Rhinolophus ferrumequinum: one gene and its partners. Each later gene encodes a partner of the first gene's protein in a complex. Links are inferred from orthologs where the notes say so. Each region holds a gene or a part of one and is shown in the gene's direction. Other genes may lie near its edges.

The links. Proteins that work in one complex are often made in the same cells at the same time.
Region 2: NSMCE3 (region 1) and EID3 share a complex: the UniProt entries of both Homo sapiens proteins name them as parts of the SMC5-SMC6 complex. The link is inferred for Rhinolophus ferrumequinum from reciprocal best matches to the Homo sapiens genes NSMCE3 and EID3.
Region 3: the proteins of NSMCE3 (region 1) and NSMCE1 are in contact, whole or in part, in a crystal structure (PDB 7DG2), measured with the Xenopus laevis proteins. The link is inferred for Rhinolophus ferrumequinum from reciprocal best matches to the Homo sapiens genes NSMCE3 and NSMCE1. Residues at the interface, in XP_018121157.1 of Xenopus laevis: Gly57, Glu58, Val60, Gln61, Tyr62, Leu64, Ile65, Lys66, Gln68, Lys69, Val82, Thr100, Gln102, Gln103, Val104, Phe105, Gly106, Phe107, Asn123, Leu125, Gln126, Arg127, Val128, Gly130, Asp131, Gly132, Met133, Arg134, Asp136, Glu137; in NP_001083134.1 of Xenopus laevis: Ile5, Glu7, Gln10, Arg11, Leu13, Gln14, Ala15, Met17, Ser18, His19, Leu30, His33, Leu37, His38, Leu54, His57, Leu58, Pro60, Leu61, Phe62, Met63, Val84, Asn86, Ile88, Thr89, Met91, Ala92, Ser93, Asp94, Gln149.

The regions. Positions count from the first base shown.
Region 1 is NC_046311.1:13,570,791-13,577,633, forward strand, and holds NSMCE3 (non-structural maintenance of chromosomes element 3 homolog), read left to right. Parts: upstream 1-4,801; 5' UTR 4,802-4,881; coding exon 4,882-5,784; 3' UTR 5,785-6,336; downstream 6,337-6,843. UniProt on the Homo sapiens protein: Component of the SMC5-SMC6 complex, a complex involved in repair of DNA double-strand breaks by homologous recombination. The complex may promote sister chromatid homologous recombination by recruiting the SMC1-SMC3 cohesin complex to double-strand breaks.
Region 2 is NC_046293.1:15,688,262-15,695,462, reverse strand, and holds EID3 (EP300-interacting inhibitor of differentiation 3), read left to right. Parts: upstream 1-4,647; 5' UTR 4,648-4,737; coding exon 4,738-5,865; 3' UTR 5,866-6,696; downstream 6,697-7,201. UniProt on the Homo sapiens protein: Tissue-specific component of the SMC5-SMC6 complex, a complex involved in repair of DNA double-strand breaks by homologous recombination.
Region 3 is NW_022680357.1:19,109,144-19,116,463, reverse strand, and holds the start of NSMCE1 (non-structural maintenance of chromosomes element 1 homolog), read left to right. Parts: upstream 1-4,315; 5' UTR 4,316-4,428; intron 4,429-7,320. UniProt on the Homo sapiens protein: RING-type zinc finger-containing E3 ubiquitin ligase that assembles with melanoma antigen protein (MAGE) to catalyze the direct transfer of ubiquitin from E2 ubiquitin-conjugating enzyme to a specific substrate.

The DNA.
Region 1 (6,843 bases):
TGCAACCATCATCTTCACCTAATTTTATGACATGTTCAGTCACCCCAAGAGTAGTGATTCCCCCATTCCCCGCCTCCCCCAGTTCTAGGCAACCATTAATCAATCTACTTTTCGCCTCTGTGGATTTGCCTATTCTAGACATTTCGTGGAAGTTGCATTATACAATATACGCTGTTTGGTGAGTGGCTGTATTCATTTAGCATGTTTTTGAAGTGCATCCACATGATGGCCTGTGTTTGTCCTTCATTCTTTTTTAAAGCTGAAAAATACTCTGTGGTATTGGCATACATTTTCTCCATTCATCAGTAAGCAGACATTGGGGTCATTTCTACCTTTTCGCTACTGTGAACAGTTCTATCTGCCTAGTCCCTCGCAGGGTTAAATTAGCCCCGTCCATTCTCCTTTTCGGTGCGCTTGCCCTGTGGTTATCTATACCTCTGCTCAGGGCCAAAGTGGAGTCCAGGAGGAAAGAATGAGGTGTCTGTCATCGTGCATGGTGTGGCCACTGGAGAAATGCTTTGGGTTAAGCATGGAGAAAAGAGCTACTCTGGCATAGCAGGTGCTTCAGCGTGTGTTCTACGTTCTCTGAAACGCCTTTCTACATGGTAAATCACCAGGTTAGCTCATGTGTACATTCTATAAGGAGAAACAATCTTTCATGGTTTCTTACTTGCACTTATTGCTGGCAACTAAAATCATAAGCATGTTCCCCAACCACAGAACACTGCCAAGAACCCTAACTAAACTGTCAAATTTTATTCAGATCACCTCTCATTACATTCAGATATCTTTGCAGGTAATATTAACCGTGTCTATTGCCGTGACTTTGAAACAAACTCTTGTTCCTTAGTACCCTCTTTTCCTCTGTGTAATGGGTTTGGATGCCACTTAGCCAGAATTGGTTCAGTTTCAAGTGAGGGGAACCAACTTGAAGCAGATAAAGCAAAAGCAGATTTTACTTACTCCAGTAATTAGTCATCCCAGGAGTTCAGCCTTGCACTTGGGATCCAGGACTTCAGTTAGCACCATTCGGACTGTTTCTCCATCGCTTAGATCTCCTTTGAGTTGCCTTCACCATGTTGCAGATTATTCCCAAGCAAGGCAGAGATAGCTAGGCTTACATCCCCCTTCAGCTTGTTAGCTCAGAGAGAGCTCATATGAACCCCTAAAAGGAGTCTGACTGGACTCCCAATCCAGTCACTGTGGCCCGCCTGAATCACATGCACCCAGAAAATGAAGGCAGAGCTTTTTCCAGGGTCTCCTAGAAATGGGAAGAAGCAATTACCAAAGGGTAAAGATGCAGAACAGGGGCAAAAACAGCCAACGAAAAGAAATTATTGGCCACTATTGAGACCTCATGTGTTTGTAATTTTATAACTTAATAGACCTTCATGATTTTCGTAAGTAAAAGGCCGTGGGTCATCGGAAGATTTATATTTCTTGAAAAGAGAGTTGCTGCATTGCTTTTCCTACTGTCTACCCGCCGAAATAGCCCCTACCCCCACCCAACCCCTTTGCTCACATGCTGCACACGGCCCCCCTTTTCTTCCACTAGAAGAGGCAGCAGAGCCACTCGCACATGCTGGCTGCCTACTTTGATCATTGCTTTTATTCCCCCAACGTCCTTACTTACTTTTTTGTACTAGGTCACTGCCAGGAAATGTAAAACCTTCCTCTGATTCTGCAAGAAATACCAAGGAACCAAGAGAATGCAGTAGATAATAAGGATGATTAGAGCTTCTTGGCAGGCATTTGCTACCAAGGAGACGAAATAAAGCCATTAATTAGTGACGTCTAAACAGCAGTTGGTAGTAGGCATTTCTTTTTTCAATGCAACTAAATCTTAGCTAGCTAATTTTTTGCCTCAAATAATTTTTGTTTTCTTTTGGGTCTAGTAATAAAAGTACTAAAGTCATTAACATAAAGTGTTTGAAAATGTTTTTCTTTTTTTAACCACTTGTCTTTAGTACTTCACTGGCTAAACAAAAAGTCACAAATGTCCCATGCAAATTACACTGAATTTACTGGAAATTTGAATGTGTAAAACTGTTATGGCCTGGTGTCCCTGAGATGTTAAAATTGATTGAAAGTATATTTTCACTGATCTCCCAAAGCAAGAAAATAAACATTGCATTTCATTTTTAAAAGAAAATACTTTTAATAGCACTGTGATATATTTTTTCAGACTTTCGTCTGATTTTCGTGCACACGTGGTTCGCTGCAGTAAACATCTTTCTTCACACAGCGTTATGTAGTCCTCAAATATTTTCCTTAATATAAACGCCCTGGAAAGAAGCAAATCATTATCAATCTTATTTTGTTGATTTGGAAACTGAAAGGAGTGTCAGTAGCTTTCCCAGGGTCATACAGGTATCTAACTTAGGGCAGGCCGACTCCCAGACTTTTTACTTTTTCAAGGACACCACATCATGTTCCCTTTGCATTGTGTGGTTAAGGGCAGTCTCTGGAGGCAGAACGCCTTAGTTCAGGTTCAAATCTAGCACTTTCTTGCTGTAGGACCTCAAAAGAGTTAATATTCTTCTCTGTGCTTCAGTTTCTTCATTTGTAAGAAGAAAAACATAATAAATGGGGCCTCATGGGGTTGTTGTGGGGATTAAATGAAGTACTAGGTGCAGATCACTTAGAATAGGGTCTGACCTACAGTTACCTTTGTAATAATCATCAGCTGCTGTTGTTTATATTTATTATTATTAGTGTTAGTGTTGTTATTGCCATCACCATGACAACAATTTTCCCTCAAACACTATGTCAATCTAAGGTGGAGTGGGGGTCTGGGCTCCTTCTCCATGCAGTATATAAGCTTCATTCTAATATTATCATGTGATATTTTCTCACTTGTATTCTTCTGGACACAGTGTAGAGAGGTGTTTTAAGACTTTAAACTGGTATCTTTTCTCACCCATTTTGAGTTTGACAATCTGCTATCTGACTAAAGATTCCACTGATGGACACAGCTGATTTTCACAGTCACTGGGGTAGCTTGACTAGCGGGGCTACTTGGTAATTTAAGTGAACACTTTTGCGAGAAAAAAAAAAAAAAAAAAAAACACTGAAAAACCAGCCCAGTTGTTGACGATGGCTTTCATCTTATTTTCCATTTCTCTGTTATCTCATGGTTGCTGATTTTTTACTCAGGGCACAATTGGAGGAACCTTTTGCAGAATTCTCCGCTGCAGTAGTTTTTCTTTGATCCTCAGTCCAAATTTTAATTTGCAAGAAAACTGAAGCAGATGGATTTTCTCATTGTAAAAAAAAAATGAATGCCTCGATGATATATTTGTTTTTCATAGTAGTCTTCTGTCATTAAGATTGATGCTTGAGAATATATTGTTAGATCCTGTATGGAACAGAAAGTTATTACTCATAGTTTACCAGATTTTAGCGAGCATACTTGCATCATAACATGGAATATCATTTTACATTTAGTGCAGCTCCAGTGTCATTATCAGATTGCATTTTCATATTGAATTACTAACAAAAATTTTATGCTAACACTTAATGAAATTTTTAATAAGATTGTGTTTTGATGCTATTATTCAAATAATGTGTTTTGAATTGCTTTCCTTTGAATATATTTGCATTAAAGAGAAACTCAATTTGATTTGGTTCTTTGAAGAGGTTACCCACTTTCTGGGTAGTTTAAAAAGACAGAGGGAAATTGTTAATTCTTTGCAAGTCAGTAAATAGAAAAGGAACACAATTACTACGATCTGTAGAAGTAATGGCAGCAGACACAGATAGTTTGAGTTAATGAAATGACTCATGTTGGCTATTATAGTTGCACAATTAAAAAAATATATATATACACAAAGCACACATCACAGATTATGAGGGATGATACCCCTGGGTTCTCTTCTCTTTCTCATCGAGCCCTAAGGCAGATATTTTAAGAATTGAGAAATTTAAGAGATTCACATTATTGCAATTCTTGATCAGTGATGCCCAAAATTAAATGGTAATCTCTTGAGAGAACACGTTTCTCTGTTTGTAGCATCCTTTTTTTCCATTTCTGCTAAAACTGTGGTTGTGAGCCCAAGGCAGTTCACGTGATCACGTGCGTTCCAGAAGATAAACTCATTTGACCAAGCAAAACCACTGTATGTGGTGGCTTGGTCATAGTTGTCTAGCTGATGGAGTATAATGCAAAAATATAAACACTGAAATCGTGAAAAGATGGGGGGAGTCCTGCTTGCGAGGCAAGCCTGCTTTACCAAACATTCGTTTTTAATAGACTCTCAGGGGCATTCGTGAAAGTAATGGTGGTAAATGGTGAGGAGGGTTTAAACTTGTGCGAGGGGAGTGGCGAAGGCAAAACAATCTAGGCGTCTTCTGGGTCTTTTCTTTTTACGTCCAGCTGTGTGTAAAAGGAAATGCTTTTTCTTCACTTGCACGCTCTTCGCTTTCTCTTCACCTTATGTTTCTCCCCCATTCCTTGACTTCGCTCCATCTAAAACTATTCCCGACTTGAAAACACTTCCCTGAGCCTGTGCGGGCGCGAACGTAGCCGCACTCCTCTTGAGGAGTCTGGGCTCCGGTTCCCTGTCTGCGCGGCTGGGAACGGACGACACTTTTAAGCACCGACTAATAAAAGCACTGCGGTGACCCCGCGGGGCTGCGCAGAAAGCCGCGGCGGCCAAGAGACTCCGCGCACGCAACACGTCGCCTCCGTGACGCGCCGCGCAGGCCCCGCCGACGCAGCGCGCAGTCTCGACGCGGCGCGCGCTCCCTCTGGCCCCGCCCCGGCGTGTCGCGCGCCCCTCCCCCCCATCCTCGCCGCGCGCCGCTTTCCCTCAGCTGCCGCTGCTGCCGGTTACCGCCCGCCGGAGTCCGCGCGGTCGCCCAGCCGTCACCGCCGGCGACATGTTGCAGAAGCCGAGACACCGGGGCCGCCTTGGCGGCCAGGCCGAGAGGGAGAAGGACTGGGGCCGCGGCGGAGACAGCCGGGCCGCGAGAGGCGGCGTCGCCGAGGAGGCCCCGAGCACCTCCCGCGGGGTGGGCAGCTCGCCTCAGCGCGCCCGCCGGGCCGAGGCGTCCCCGGCCGTGGGGCCCAGGTCCCAGAAGCAGCTGGAGCTGAAGGTGGCCGAGCTGGTGCAGTTCTTGCTGATCAAAGACCAGAAGAAGATCCCGATCAAGCGCAGCGACATGCTGAAGCACGTGATCGGCGACTACAGGGACATCTTCGCCGACCTCCTGAGGCTGGCCGCCGAGCGCCTGCAGTACGTGTTCGGGTACAAGCTGGTGGAGCTGGAGCCCAAGAGCAACAGCTACATTCTCATCAACAGCCTGGAGCCGGTGGAGGAGGACGCGGAGCTGAGGGGCGACCAGGGCACGCCCACCACCGGCCTCCTCATGATCGTCCTGGGGCTCATCTTCATGAAGGGCAACAGCATCAAGGAGACCGAGGTCTGGGACTTCCTGCGGCGCCTGGGGGTGTTCCCCACCAAGAAGCATTTAATCTTCGGGGACCCAAAGAAACTCATAACCGAAGACTTCGTGCGGCAGCGTTACCTGGAGTACCGGCGGATTCCCCACACGGATCCGGTCGACTACGAATTCCAGTGGGGCCCGCGCACCAACCTGGAAACCAGCAAGATGAAGGTCCTCAAGTTCGTGGCCAAAGTCCACAAGCAGGACCCCAAGGACTGGCCCGCGCAGTACTGTGAGGCTTTGGCGGAGGAGGAGGCCCGGGCCCGGCCTCAGACGGCGGGCCCAGCCCCGTCCCTCGAAACCGCGGCGGGGAGAAGGGTCAAAAGCACCGGTTGAAGAGGTGGGGGTGGCGGGAGCACTTTTCTGTGAGGCTTAAATGTGTGTAGCTGTAGGATGTGTTTGCAGAGTTGTGTTCTGTTAGTACTACAAGGTACGTGGTTCCAAAGTGTCGTTGACAAAACCATTCGGGAGAGGATTTATTTGGCGTGTTTTACTGTCTGTATATGTGGGTATAAAAATTTGGCTAGCTTTGTAAAACTAATGGGAAAACGTTTGTGCTGTGATCTGGAACAGAGATTGAAGGAAGAACACATCAGTAAATTGCTTTGGCGCCCAGAAAATAAAAAGGAAGTGGCTGTTAACCTGGCCTCTTAACTACCCCAGTTTGTAAGGAAAAAGAAAAGCCTTTGCAAATTAAAAATAAAAATGTGACTGCCTGTATCCCTTTTTGCCTTAACACAGCTATTTTATATTTATATATTTCCTACATATGTAAGCATTGTTCCAAGCAATGTAAATGTTTTTTACTTTCATAACTACCACTTAGGTCGGTTTGGTTTTCCTTGTTTTTGCTACTATAGTTATAATAAATACTATATCTTTGAAGCAGTTATGCATTGTGCATTTTTTAAATTGTGAATCATGAGAAATTAATTTCATGACTTAAAACCAGCATCTTAAAGGCAGTTTTTGCTACATGTTAAGTGTTTTGTAGAAGTTGCTTTACTTTTTATATGTGTTCCTGCAGATTGGATCATGATGTACAATATATTTCTTACTGTGGGTCACAAAAAAGTTGATGAAACCATTAGTGATTAACCAGCCTACTTGAGAATCAGACTACCTGGATTTAGTCCTGGCTGCACCTACCGTGTTTTGCCAAAAATAAGACCTCACGGGACAATCAGGTCTAATGCATCTTTTGGAGCAAAAATTAATATAAGACCCAGTATTATATAAGACCCTGTCTTGTATTATAGTAAAATAAGACCGGGTCTTATATTAATTTTTGCTCCTAAAGACACATTAGAGCTGATTGTCCCGCTAGGTCTTATTTCCTGGGAAACAAGGGTAACTAGCCATATAAATTTGGGCAGGTTACTTAACTTGCTTAGG
Region 2 (7,201 bases), on another chromosome or scaffold:
ATACAGTAGTCTATGCAGATGTGTCCAGATCAGGTGAGAAGTCACATTATGTCTATTTAGCTACTATTTATTCAGCACCTGTGTTCTTGAAATGGCGCTAGGTCCTCACTTTGTTACCTCTAACACAAGTCTAGGGCGATGTATATGCTTTAGAATACATTTGTCAACGAATGTTTGTATATGATTTTTCTACAAAGGGGCACGACCACTCTATATGGCAGAGAAGATATACAATAGCCGCCTTTTACAAATGAGGAAAATAAGTGGAAACTAATAAAGCCCTGCTTTTGATTGGGGAATCCAGGCCTCCAGAGCTGAGTTCCTTCCCAGCTGCCCCTTTAAAACCACATCCCAGTGCTTTCCGACCCCTGGTCTGTCAAAATGATGCTCTTGGTCATTGCTGATTTCTGAGGTGTCCCAAGAGAGTTGATAATTGCTCTTATAACCTGAAGCGTTCTGTTCTCATCTCACACCCTTGTTTACAATAGTTCTTGAGGCTTGGCAAGTCCTCATCACTGGGTTTTCTGAAGTGACAGTTAAGTCTATGACTTGACCACGGGCAAGGGTGGAGGTTTTATATACTCTGAAATATTTCAGTGACTGGCTCCAAATTGTTTTGTGGGACTTGATTGCCATTTTATCTTTTATTTCACTAACAATAAAGCAATCTTATTTGAATAGAATAGTTATTCAGAGCCTCTTTTGGACACTGGGTTTTTAAAGAATCTGCTGAACTCCAAGGACCCATTCCTGAGAAAAATGTGCACATGTAGTTTTGCATATAGTCGCAGATTTTTTGGTGGGCTTGCTTCAGAATATCTAGTTGAGAGTTTTATTCTTCAAAGTAACTATACACACTTTCATTAGTTGAAGCTTTAGGTTTTAAAATTTTCTTACACGGCAAATTTCTTTTCACTGTGATTTGTTAAGTGAGATACATTCTTGTATTACTCCTTATGGATTTAACCTTTAAAATATTTTTCTGTTCCTGAAACATCCAAGAGTGAAGCTACTGGTTTGTACATAGGTGTTTCTGTTTGGTGTCTAATGTTTATGAACCATTTGCTATCTTTGGGATAATTTAAGATTTATTAAGTACCTACTCAACAGCTGAAAATATTGTCAAATCTATCACATAATTCTCATTCAATATTTACAGTAACTTTATGATATAAGTAGTAGTATTCCCATCTTACAAAGGAAGAAGCTGGAGGCTAAGAGGTTAAGCAACTTGCCTAAGATAACTCTAATAGCTAGCAAGTCAAGATTGGAACCAGGTTTGCCTCCATTGGCCATGGTCTTTTCAGACACTCATTTGAAAAACACAGATACCTGCCTTAATCACAGCAAAGTTTACCTTTAATACTAAAAAACCAAAACCAAACAAAGCAAAAATGTACACGCACAAATATAACGTTAAAGGAAATTAAGATGAAAAAGAAAATATACCTAACGTCCTGCTACTTTGATAAATCAAACTAGGACTTTTACAACATCTCTTCACGACTAAATATTAAATAGATACCTTGGAAGGATGAGGAGAGAAAAACTGATATGAAAGAAGGCATAAAGAAGTTGAGGAGGTAGCTTAACAGCAATAAGTCTGTTAGAGTGTGGGGATCCTACCTGACTTGTTCCTGGTTTGGCTCAGAAGTCTTTTAAGAGATTAAACATCTTCTTGTTGTAGATTAATCCTGCAATAAAAATCCCACTAGAAAAGATAGTGGACTCTATGTGAGTCCTTTTTTTATTTGGCTTAAGAGAGAGACCTGTGATCTGTGACATCCATCCCATCACATTTGGCTTGAGCACTGGGAGTTGTGGGAAAGAGCTTAAGAATGCTTGGAATGAATGAATCTGAACTCCTGGCAAAGGACTGATAAATAATACTGGAAGAAAAACTGAGGAAAGGAAGAACGGAAATGGAGAGCCTTATTTAGCCTTTGGCAACATCCCCTGAAAGAGAACAAAGTAGTGGAGAGGAGCTAAATTATGTTGGAGGCCAAGCTGTGTGCCATTGGTTGTCTGAAGTCGTCTTACTGCATGAAGAAGGTAGATGTTAGTGATTTCTTTGAAGTAGTAGTGCACTTTTGCTTTCTGTTAAAAGTCATAGAGCAGTTTACCAGTATAACTGAAATTGTGTGTTGTAGTTCCTTTTTTAAGCTGCATTTATATAATTATTACTAGTAATTTGACCGTAGGTTAGAAAGCCACTGTTTAGTGATTTAAAGATGCACAAGTGTAGAAATCCCATTCTTTAAATGATGAAGGAAAATCATTAGACTTGAGATTTTATTTTGAGATGACATATGAACCTTATGCTCTAAAGGCAGATTTAAGAATGTGGGATATGCAAGTCTGGTTTCTGAGGATGACAGAAGTTACATGTTACGAAGATTCTTAAGAACAGGGATCTAGTATAGAGTGAACTCAGCACAGAAACGACAACTTAATAATATGCTTGTCTTGATATGTTCTGTTGCTTCAAGCAAGTTGTGTGGGCTGTTATCTCCTGAGAAATCCCTATAAATAGTATTAGTAATACTTTATAAGTAGGTGAGGAGAATTATTTTTCTGAAGCGTTTCGAAATTCTTAGATGAAAGGCTCTGTATGGAGCAAATTGGTATCAGCCTGTTCTCCCTCTTCTGATGCAGGAGAAAATAGGCACCTTAGGGTGGGAAGGTTGGCTTATCTTTTGGAGTTCTTTTATAAATTGCTTTTGTTGAATTTGAAGTGGATATCAGAAGCTCCTAAGGATACAGTTAACTATAAAAGCAAACTCTTTGGGATTTGGGATTAGGGATTAACTCTCTTCCTCTTAGATTTAAAACAGGTTTAAATATTAGTTTGTAATTGGGCAGACTTAGGGGGAAAATGTGGTCCTTTGATGATCCTGGATCCCAACTTTGTTTTTTTCTTACTTTTTCTGTATTTCAGAGAAGGGATAAGGTTGACTTTCTGAAAAGGAGTCAACTTTTATTTTCATTTTGAGAATCTCTTAAACTAACCTGAAATTTTTTGCTGCCAAATAACTTGTAGGAGGTGTTGGGACAAAGTTTAAAAAAAAAAACTACATTCATTTACAACGTATGCATTTAAATGTGCATAGTCAAATGCATCCATGTGAAAACAGCTTTGCTTAGAAGATTTAAACCAAGTTTTTGCTTTAGAGAAGCTAACAGTCTAATGGCAGGATAATAGGTATATATGCACAAGTAACCATAGCGCATGGTGTTTTTGAAAAATGCATGTTTCTTCCTGAATTACCCCTACTTAAAGAAATAATGGTGCACAATAGTAATGTAAATATTTTGGAATAACTTAATAACAGGTTTTGCTGTTTATGCATTTGCAAGAAACTTTCTATTAATGTCAAAGAAAAATGAACCAGTCTAGATGCATAGGAAGGAAGGTAGGGCTAATTTACTTCCGTGTGCCTTGAAACCAGAGCTGACAGGTCAAGTGTGGTGTGTTCTCTCTCCCTCTCTCTCTCCCTCTCTCTCTCTTCCCCTCCCCCTCTGCCCCTCGCCCCCTCTCCCATCCCCCCTCCCCTCTCCCCCTTTCCCACTTTCCCTCTCTCGGACTCTCCTTTAAAAGGAACACCTGTTGCAGTGGTTAAAAACTGGTCTTGCGGGTTGAGAATGCATATTCTCTTTAAAAATGAAATATATTCTGTTCCAGTGTTACCTGTACTTTGCTGCCTGTGTGACTGCTAAGCTAAGCTCTCTCTCTCCAACTGTACAAGAATTCCCAGTCAACTAGTAGGTGAAGTTTCCAGTATAGATTAGTCACCTGATTTACAGCATTTGCTTTCATAGCTTTATCACAGATTGTGTTTAAAATCTTCATTGCTTTGCTTACCTTTTAGGGTTCAGATTTACTATCCATTCAGTCTGTGGTCTTTAGCCTTTGGCAAGCTTCCAAATAAACAGCTCTTTTGTAGAGATTGTACCTGTTTTATTTGTTCACCCTTGGGTGGTGAACCAAAGATCGCTTGAGTAATACGTTCCTTCCCCACCTTCAAGCTTGCTCTAGCAGTGACACACACGAGTGATGCCCTCCACTCCATGGGGTAGGTTGGAGGGGATTGGGCTTTTGAGGGCCCGGGAAGGTAATTGACGCAATTTACATTTGTATAATGAAGAATTGAGTTCCAAACAACCATCTACTAGTAAATGAACTCTTAGAGTTGGTGGCCTATTTGTAATGGGAGTTCTGCATGTCACGATCCTTGGTCCTACTGGTAGTTTATAATCTAGCCAGATTTAGTTCTCAAAAATAAAAGACCCCACTTCTTAATCACTAAGAATAAAAAACGAAGGTCGACTTAACTGCAGTATGTGACAGCAAGTTTTAAAGCACAGGACCTTTAGTTTCCTCACAATTTTGTCATAGATTGCCCAAGTGTTTCTTCGAAAGCTAGATGATACTGTCAGTTAACGCTAAAACAATTAGCTATCGCTTAAACGGGTGTATGAGTGTGGGCTTCGGACCGATTATTGCGTGCGTCCTGTGCGCCACGGGCTTGTTTGCGAACGTGTTGCACAAGACCTGGGCTCCGCAAGGTGGGGCTGTCAGGAGGCGGGGCGAGCTGGGGGCGGGGCCTCCCGGCGGTGTCACCAGTGCGCATGGGCGAACAGGTTCCTCCGCTCTGACTGACCCCTTCAATTTCCGCCGCTGTCCGAAACCGTTGCGAAGGCCGTTAGCTGAGCGCTCCCGGAGCTTACTGACTGACAATGTCTGACGAAAAAGATTCCCTGCGGGGAGGCATAGAGGAGGGAGAGGAGCGGGTGGTGAACATCACCAGTAGTGCGTACTCCGTGAAGCAGGCGGAGGAGGAGGCAGATCCCATGAAGGTGGAAGTGGCGGTGGGGGCTGATGGCTGCTCTGAAGGCTGTTCTGACGACCTCAGCTGTGGAGAGGCCGACATAGATCCAAATCTCCTGGGGCTTGAGGCTGACGAGGAGAAGTGCCGGAGTATCCGCAAGCAGTACCGGCAGCTCATCTACAACGTCCAACAGAACCGTGAAGACATAGTGAACACAGCGAGCGACTCGTTGAGCGAGGCTCTTGAAGAAGCCAATGTCCTGTTTGATGAAGTGAGCCGAACAAGAGAAGCGGCTCTCGATGCCCAGTTTCTTGTTCTGGCTTCTGATTTGGGTAAAGAAAAAGCCAAGCAGCTGAACTGTGATATGCGCTTTTTTAATCAAGTAGCATTTTGTGACTTTCTCTGTATATTTGTGGGACTAAACTTGATGGAAGATAATGGACGTAATGCGTTGAGTGGTTGTGATGATAATATAGCTCTTTCCTTCTGGGAGACAATACAGAAGGAAGCAACATCCTGGATATTGCAAGCTGGAACATTCCACTTTATTTTTGGTTCATTCAAATCAGAGTCTTCTGCCCGAAAGCCCCGACGTGAGCACCAGAAAAAAACTCACAGAATGGAAGATAATAGGGATATGCCTGTAAAACTGAGGAAGTTGGACTTGAGTAATAATCAAGAAGCGACAGAAAAAGAAGTAGAAAGAATCCTGGGATTGTTGCAAACGTACTTTCGAAAGTATCCTGATACTCCTGTGTCCTATTTTGAGTTTGTGATTGATCCAAATTCTTTTTCTCGTACCGTGGAGAATATATTTTATGTTTCTTTCATTATAAGGGATGGTTTCGCAAGAATAAGGCTTGACCAAGACAGGCTGCCAATATTAGAGCCAATTAATATTAACCAAGTGAGTGAGGGAAATGATCCCAGTTCCTATGGCAGGAAACAAGGGGTTATATCTTTGAGTTTACAGGACTGGAGAAATATTGTGGCGACTTTTGAAATTTCAGAGGCTATGATCACAAATTCATACTAAATATTTTTGTTCCTAGTATAGGATGCATTTTGTGGCTTTTCTAAAAGTGTGTCAAAATGCAGAGTTAAATCCAAACAAAAGCACATATTGTTACCTCTTGTAAAGTGAAAAAGTATTTTCAAGAACATCAAATTGTTTACTGTGCAGTGTGATTTTCTTGGTAGTTTATAAGATAGTCAAGACCTTCTGTTATTAAAAAAAATTTACTGGCATGTTCATGGGAAAATTTTTTGAATGTCCTTTGAGACTATTAATAAAAATCATTTCTGAATTTCGTAAGTTAAAAGGTATTTGATAATTTGCAAAAAAAAAAAAATTTAGTTATGATGCCCTGTGATACTGTGTTCCTCTGTTACAGGGAACCAAGGGAGTCCCATATGGGGCTCCTAACCAGGTTGGGGAAAGAGTGGGTGAAAAAAATGGTAAAAAACATCCATAGGGCAGTGAATATGCAACATTAATACTATAAAAAAAAAATTAAGATGCCTTGCTTCATTGCAGAGAGGGCTCAGGTCAATGAGTGGGTATCCATATTCTAAAAAATTTCTCCTGTGATTAAACTCAACAAAAGTCGAGTTATCTCTACTCTAGTAGACAAAGCATCAACTAAGTGCTGAAAAGTCATTAGGAACTGGTCAAATACAGGAATGGTATTCTAGGCAGGGGATATGGAGGCCAAATATATGGGATTGTGAGAAATTATGGCACCAGAGAACCATAAAAGGTTTTGAAAACTATTCCATTTGAATGTTAAGCGGGGCAAAAATTGAATTACTTTGTCTGTCATTCTCCTCAGAGATAGAAGATATTTTTGTCAGATTACTTCAAACACAAAAATCGTTTAACAACCAGTTATAGTCTTGATATACTTGGTTAATTTCTTTTCTGGCCCCTACTTTCCCTTTGTAACTTCTGCTAGTACACAGAGTGTCCTTCAGAATCAGTGATGTTTTATTATGTAACAGCCTTGAATATTTGTTTCCAGTTCAATTTGGCATTTCTTAATAAGGCTTTAAATGCCTGGAAACTGTCCCTGATTAAACTGAAATACAGGATTAACTTATCCCAAAGTTCTTTACTTCGGATAAAACCATAAATGCTTTTTTTTATTACTTGCAATTGTTTTAAAAATACATATTATAGACTTATTTGGTGGTTATTGCCAAAAATTGGGTCTTTAAGGAAACAGTTTTTGAAGGTGCAGTGAGTATGCCTATAAGCTTCTTTTCTTGATCTCTATAGGAATTTAATCTTCGGTGGTAGTGGATTTTGCCATTAAACATTATTTGGCAAGTGGATAAGTATTTTGCATAGTAGTAATGATAAACTTTCCAAC
Region 3 (7,320 bases), on another chromosome or scaffold:
AGTTAAATTGTCGAATCTTATTTCAGGACCCAGTGATGTAGATACACTCCCAAATTTCACCTTTTATTAAATATCTGATTACTTGCTTATGTGGGGAAGACTTTCCTCTACCCCCAGGCTTCTGACTGCTGTAATAATCAAATAAACATGAAACAGATTATCAAGAGGAAACGAGCAGATTTAATACATACATATGGGAACCCTGCACACAGGAGAGTCAGGGACCCCACATGTAGGAGACGTAGGGAGATAGAAAAGGAACAGGGGTAGGTAAGACATCCCGAGCTAGGGATGAAGTGAGGTCTCTTGGGGGCTCGAAAGGGTCTCTGCAGGGTGACGACAAGAGCATGAGGATGGAAAAGGGGCCACAGGTGAAACCTGACAAGCTCAGGAGACTGAAAATAACCACGTATAGGACGGCGTGAACATACAAATTCCTAACTCAGGTGGGCCATGGCGGGAAGTCACATCCTTGGCCTGCAGCTTCCTAGACAAAGGTCAGTCTTTACCTTAAGTGAGCCTGTCAACTGTCTTTTTGCATCAAAAATAACACACCCTTTGGAATGTCAGTAATGCCTCCCTCCCCCCACCACCAGAGCAGGAAGCTGTAGAACCCCTCATTATTATTCTTCTCTGGATTCCCATCTCTATGTGCTGTGAAAAGTGCTATTAACTATCCTGTACCCACCTATGTGAAAGAAGTACCTGTCTCTCCAATTTACTTTAATCACAGAGATTTCCCTGCTTTGCTTTCTCCCACCCCATTAATCTACCACCAATGGATTTCATGTAACCCTCCTCCTTTGATTCTGTGTATAAAATAACTGCAAACCACCATTTTGTGAAGCATTTTCTCAGTCCGTTGAGATTTTGCTTCCCAGCAATTGGCATCGGTTTGGCACAGATAGACTCTTTATAGGCTTTCTCTTAGGCTGAATGTTTTTCCATGGACAAGCATGTTTCATGAATATCTTGAACCTAGTCAGACAAAGACAGATGTTCAGAGACTGAAGGAGAAGGTCAGACAGGGACAGAAATAGACAAACAATGTGGGGTGTGGGGTGCTGAGCTGCTACCAGCCCACGGTCGCTGACTGTGTGTGGGGGCTATGTGTTTGGAATCTCTCGAGGTGTCCTTGGCTGACTCGGCACTGTTTTCCCAGGTCTTCCATATATGCCTTCCATATATGCGCCCCTCCCCCCAAGACTGAAGTTCCCACACCAGGCCATCACTCTGGACCTGAGAGTGGTCCCAGCATTGGACAAGACCCCTTATGCCAGTAAAAAACTGAGGGACTGTACCCCAACCTACCGGACAGGTACAGCTACCACAGCTGTGCAGGGGGAAGCCTGTTCCAGCAAAGCTGCGCCAGGAGCCAGGTGTTCAGCTCCCCCTGCAAATGCTGTCCCCTGTCACACAGCACGTAGGCCCAGGCTCTGGAAAAGCACAGCCACACTGCCTGTTAGGAAGACTGAGCAGTGGACCCTGCTGCCAGCACTGTGTATCCTTCTCATGCCAGTGCCTGACTCTGCCCGCACTATACACAGGAATGGCTTTTATCTTGGCCTTTGGGGCCTGTCAGCATCCCTCTAGGCTGAGGGCGGAGTGGAAGGGTCACTTCCCCTCTCTGCTCCACCAATCCACACCCATTGCCACCACTGGATCAAGCTTAAAACGCAGTAAATCCAAAATTTATGTGAGTATGTGGTTTCCATAATCAACTTGATTTTCTCTTGTTTCTCATTTGTTACTCATTTCTGCTTTTGCTTTATTATTATTTCTTTCCCTCCATTTTCTTTGGGTTTATTTATTTTTCTACCTCTTAAATGGAACACAAATTTTGTTTTCTTGTTTTGTAATAAGTACACCAGAGGCTATAATCCCCCTTCTAATTACTGTTTTAGTTAGAGCACACAGAATTTATTATGTAAGGCTCTTATTGTCATTCATTTCTAAATATTTTGTGATTTCCATATACATTTTTTAAATCCACATGTATTTTTCAGTTTACAAATGCACGTTTTTTTCTTTTAAAAATGTGTCATAAAAGCTATCTACATACAAAAAGTATAAAAATATAATGAACTTCCAACCGAAGACATGAAATTCAAATGTATGCTTATAATTTTTAATTTTATTTTTCATAAGTCATAGATATACATGATAAAAAGACAAACTAGCCTGTCTTCTTGGCCCCTCCTACTGTTACTAATTTAAGGTATACTCTATTGAATTGTATGGGTTTCTTTTTGGCTCTCTTTTTGTTATTGATTTTTAATTTTCCTTTATTGTGGGTTGTGAATGTGACCTATTGAATCTGGATTTCAATGAGGCTTCCTTTGTGGTAGTCAATTTCTGTAAATGTTCCAAGTATGTTTGAAAAGAACAGATATGCAAATATTTTTTTTTGTAATGCAAACTTGGTCTCCTCAATTCCTCTCTGAGCTTCTGTGGTTCTCAGGTAAAAGACAGCCCCTTAGCCTGTGATTTGGCCCCACACTTTCTCTCTAGCCAAGGCCTAGGCAACCTCCATATGTACAACAAATTTATGTCCGTGTAGCTCTTGTATCTTTTAGGGCCAACTTTCAGAAGGACATTTGAAGTGTTACAGTCTTGTAGCAAACAGTCCAATTCGTGGCACATCCAAGTTTCCTAATAGAATCTCACAGAACCACCTGGAGAGTGGGCAGTCTTCTGAGGGTGGTCATGCTGAGGTTGGACAGTCGCCCTGTGATGGGTCACTCCCTCATTGCCAATTCCAGTCCTTACCCACTACTTGCTCCTGTCCAACACTACCACTTCACCGAGATCTCAGGCTGCTGCGCCCCTCCAGGCTGACTTCCCAGCACTTACTTACTGCCCATGAAATTCTTCATCAGTGGCATATCTTTCTTGACCTCTCCAGAGCACTGGCAAACCTGACCACACCCTGTTTCTCAAAACTCTCTACCTGTTTGCCTCTGACACCACAGTCTTGAATCCTGTCTTCTCTTTCTACCTCCTCCTTGGCCCTTTCATCCTGAAATGCCAGTGTTCCCAGCATTTTGTGTTCATGGTCCTCGGGGTTTTTTTTCCCCCTCTATACTCCAGGAAAACACGGTGCATTACAAAGGGACAGTTTCTACCAAGCTCTGAACAAGTGTGGCCTGTTGTCCCATTGCCCAATTTTACAAGAGCGGACAGACACCCCAGGGTTTTCTGTGAAATCCCTCAACTTTAAATGTTGATAATGAATTGAAAAGTGTACACAACTGTGCAGGGCAAACAAAACATGGCAGCCCAGTCCTTCTTAGGGCTGTTCTTCTCTTATTCGACTGACCCTAAGGCAATTTGTAAAGTACTTTGTTCATACTGGAAGCTCACACTTACTGAGGGCTTACTATGTGCCAGACACTCTTCTAAGTGTTTGCATGTATTAATGTATTTAATCTTCATAACAAGCCCATCAAAACAATGGTATTATTATCCCTGCTTTACAGAAGAACGAACTGTGAGGGACTACTTTGTCCTGGGTCTCAAAGATTCTGAGTGTAAGAACCTGGATTCAAATCCAGCTTGGGCTCTGGAGCCCAAGCTTTCCCTGCTCAGCCGATGATCAAACTGAGGTCCAGGGCGGTTGAATTGTCCGAGGTCACAACAGAGTTAACTGGCCTGCGGGTGGGGTGGAGGTGGGTTGAGGCTGTGGTCACAGAGATACTTGCACTCCCCGCTGTTCTGTAATTAGCCACCCCTATTCCCTGCTGCACTGGGTCCTGGTTGGCAGACCAGGGACTGGAATACAAACGATGGTAACGTGCCCATCCACTTCCACCGATAACTTCATTTACTCCTCACAACACTCCCAGAGCAGGACAGTCGCTAACATTCAATATCAGCCCTTCATGCGTGTTGTCCTGTAAACCTCACAAGCACGCTGCTGCTACGTGGGGACTATTATCCCCGTTTGACAGGAGCAACTGAGGCTCAGCGCCTCTCTGTGATTTGTCCAAGATGAGGCATCTGGTAAGTTGCAGGGCCAGGATTCTGGTCAGGATATATGACAACAGAGCCCCCCATCCTTGACCACGAGGCCACACTGCCAGTTCTACAGGTGGGGAAATCGCGGCCATGAGGGTGGCGCACGCTGCACTCCTCCTCCTCCTTTTCCATAAAGTCCCCAGAGAGGCCAGGGAAGCGCCTAAAACTGGACTTGACAGATCGATCCTGCGGCACCACGGCAACGGCGCGGGAGGGGTAACGGGAAGTGCGTCATCGAGCGGGCGGGACGAACCTGCACGACCACCAATGGGAGCGTCGCGTGCTCCGCCCTGAGGGAGGAGCCGAGTCCGCTTTTTGCCAACGGCGCGGGCCCTGTGAGCAGCTCCTGGGCGCCTCCGAGGGTAACGGCGACTCGAGAACGCCGTCCGGAGCGGCGAGGGAGGCCGGAAGGTGGGGCTGAGGTCCGGGGCGGCCTGCGCATTGCGCCCAGTGCGGCGCTGAGGGCCCGGGGCCCCGGGGCTTCTCGTTTCCGGCTGGAGAAACTGAGGCCCAGAGGGGGCCGCGAGGGCCAATAGACCGGAAACGCGTCCCTCTCACAGGGACACTTTTAAACCGTGATATTAGATGAGAAGATAGTTCTTAGCATGATGTTAGGTGAAGAAAAGTACGAAATGTGTCTGAACTGAGTGCGTGCAGCCGGCCCGCGCCGACTGCTCGTCAGCCACTGGCGCCGCGCCCCGCGCCCGCGTTCTGTGCGCCGAGCGTCTCGCTGTGTCCGAGTCCACAGCCCCGACGTTAAAGCCCCGCGGCTGTCAGCGTTCAGAACCCCGCGTTTCGGGGTTTCCGGAGGAGGGTGGGGAGCCTGCGTTCTCCACAGGTTAGGCCCCACCGTCAGCGGCGTCTGGGGCAGCGTCTTGTAGTCAGTCACAACCGTAGTACCGCCGCTGAAGACACGCGGGTTTACACTAAAAGGGATAAAGAACGACCATAGATAGCCCCACCTTAGATCTGATCCAGTTTTCAAACTTAAAAGATTTGATGTTCAGACCTTTTTAGATTTGACAATTGCAGACTAGGAGCCGGGATCCTCATGTTATTATTTACTCCTATTTCTCGCTGGCGGGGGTGCCACACATCCTGAACTGCGCTTTTGTGTCGTCACCCTCTGTCTCCATCACTGTGTGTGTCCCCTTGTGCCCTCAGCCGGCTTCCTCGTGTGTAAAATGGAGTAAGGAATGGCTTTCTCATAAGGTTCTGGTGACGAGTAAAGGAGACTGTGCTGTAGCACATGGCACACGTGGATGGTTATGACTGACATCTGCTTATTCCACAAGCATTTCTGTTTGAAGGCCATTGGGAGGGCAGTGCGTGTCCGTGGTCAGCCTCCCCACTCAGTCCCTCTTCCGGGAGAACACTGAATCCTAGGACAGAACAAGCCTGTCTTTCACCCCCATTGCCCTCCCCTTTCCCCAAAGTACAGCATTGTATACCGTTCTTTACTTAGTTCTTCTTTAGTAACATTTTGGCTTAACATATTTACATAATTTTCTTCCCTTTTTAAGATATGTGACATATCTATAACAATGTAAGTTTGAAGAATGAAGATAAAACAAACATCCACCCACCATGTTAGAACATTTTCATGTCCTCACAGCCCCCGTTGAATCCTTTCTTCCCTCACCAAAGAGAACCACTGCGCTGAGTATTGTGTTCTTCGTTCTGTTGTTTTCTTTGTTGTTTTTACTGTTGATGTATCTCTGATGAATGCAGTGCATGGTTTGCTAGGTTTTGAGTTTTATATAAATGGGATCCTAACATATTTTGTGTGACTCGATTTTTGCATTTAACACCATGTATACATTAGATGCATCTGTGTCGCTGTGAGTAGCTCTACTTCATCTTCAGTGCTTTGAATTCCAAGGTCAGATTATACACACTTTATGGAGGCCGTTCAGTTGGTCTTCACTTATACTTTTTGCCAGTTTTTTTGCTCCCACATGGTGCTTTTATAAGCATATTTCCTGGGGCCAATGTGGGAAAGTTTCTGTAAGGTATGTACCTGATAGTGGATTTCGGAGGATATACAGATGAGCAGGTAAAATCAACTTGTCTGAAGTGCTTATAAGGGTTTACACTCTATGGGCAGTGGGTGAGTCTCAGCCTCGGCCATTTTAAGGATTTTGGCCTCTCTGGTGGTAGTGGAGACATTAGTCGGTGGTTTTAATACTCATTTGCCTGTTGACAGGTAGTTTGAGCATCTTTTCACATCTTTATTAGTTGTGCATTTTCTTTGTCAAATTTCTGTTGCTCATTTCTCTCACAGTTGTCTTCCCTTTGCTTTTTGTAGGAGCTCTTTATATATGTTCTGAATGTGAGTCTTTTGTGGCTTAAATGTGTTTCAGATACCTTCCAGTTTGTAGCGTGTCTTCTCTTTCTATTTTCCACTGTCTGGTGTTTTGGTGAACTCCGGTCTTTAATTTTAACAAGGTTGAAGATATCAGTATATTCCTTTATGGTTTGTACTTTTCTTATTTTTTTTTAAGAAACTCTTCCCTGTCTTTGAGTCATACAGTTATTATCATACGTTGTTGTCCAAAAGTTTCATAGCCTTTCCTTTCTTATGACCTTACTCCTTAAGAATAGAATTTCATGAGGTAAGGGTCTATTTTTTTTATTTTTCTCCCACATATGGATAATCAGTTGTTCTGCCAAGTTTTTTGAAAAGTCTGCTTTCGTTAGGAGTTCTATCTCTTCAACACGTCAAGTATCCATACATGTATGTGTTTCTGTTTCAGAGTTCTGTATTCTGTCCCATTGGTCTTATTTGTCCATTTCTATGCCATTATCACATTTTACTCATTACTCTATCTTTAAAATAAGTTGTGGTTCCTGGAAAAACAATTTCTCCTGCCTTTGTCTTCTCCAAGAAATGTCTTTGCCATTTTGCCTTTACATTTTCCATGTAAAATTTAGACTCATCTTGTCAGCTCACACACATACACATGAAGCCTGTTGGGAATTTGACTGGAATTGCATTGATTTGGTTGTATTGGATTAATTTGGATTTTAAAGTGATTGCTTTCAACATTTCATCCTTAAATATTACGTTTGCTGTAGGTTTTTGTAGATGCCATTTAGTAGATAAAGGAAGTAAGTTTCTAGTTCAAGAGTTTTTACTGTTAATAAATGTTGAATTTTATCAACTGTGAGATGATCATATTCCTTTTTTTCTTTATTCTGCTAATGTGGTGACTCACATTGATTGCTATAAGCTGCTTGTAATATCTTTCTGTAAATGTTAGTGTATGCAATTAGTTTCCCATTTGCATTCCCAAGTATTGT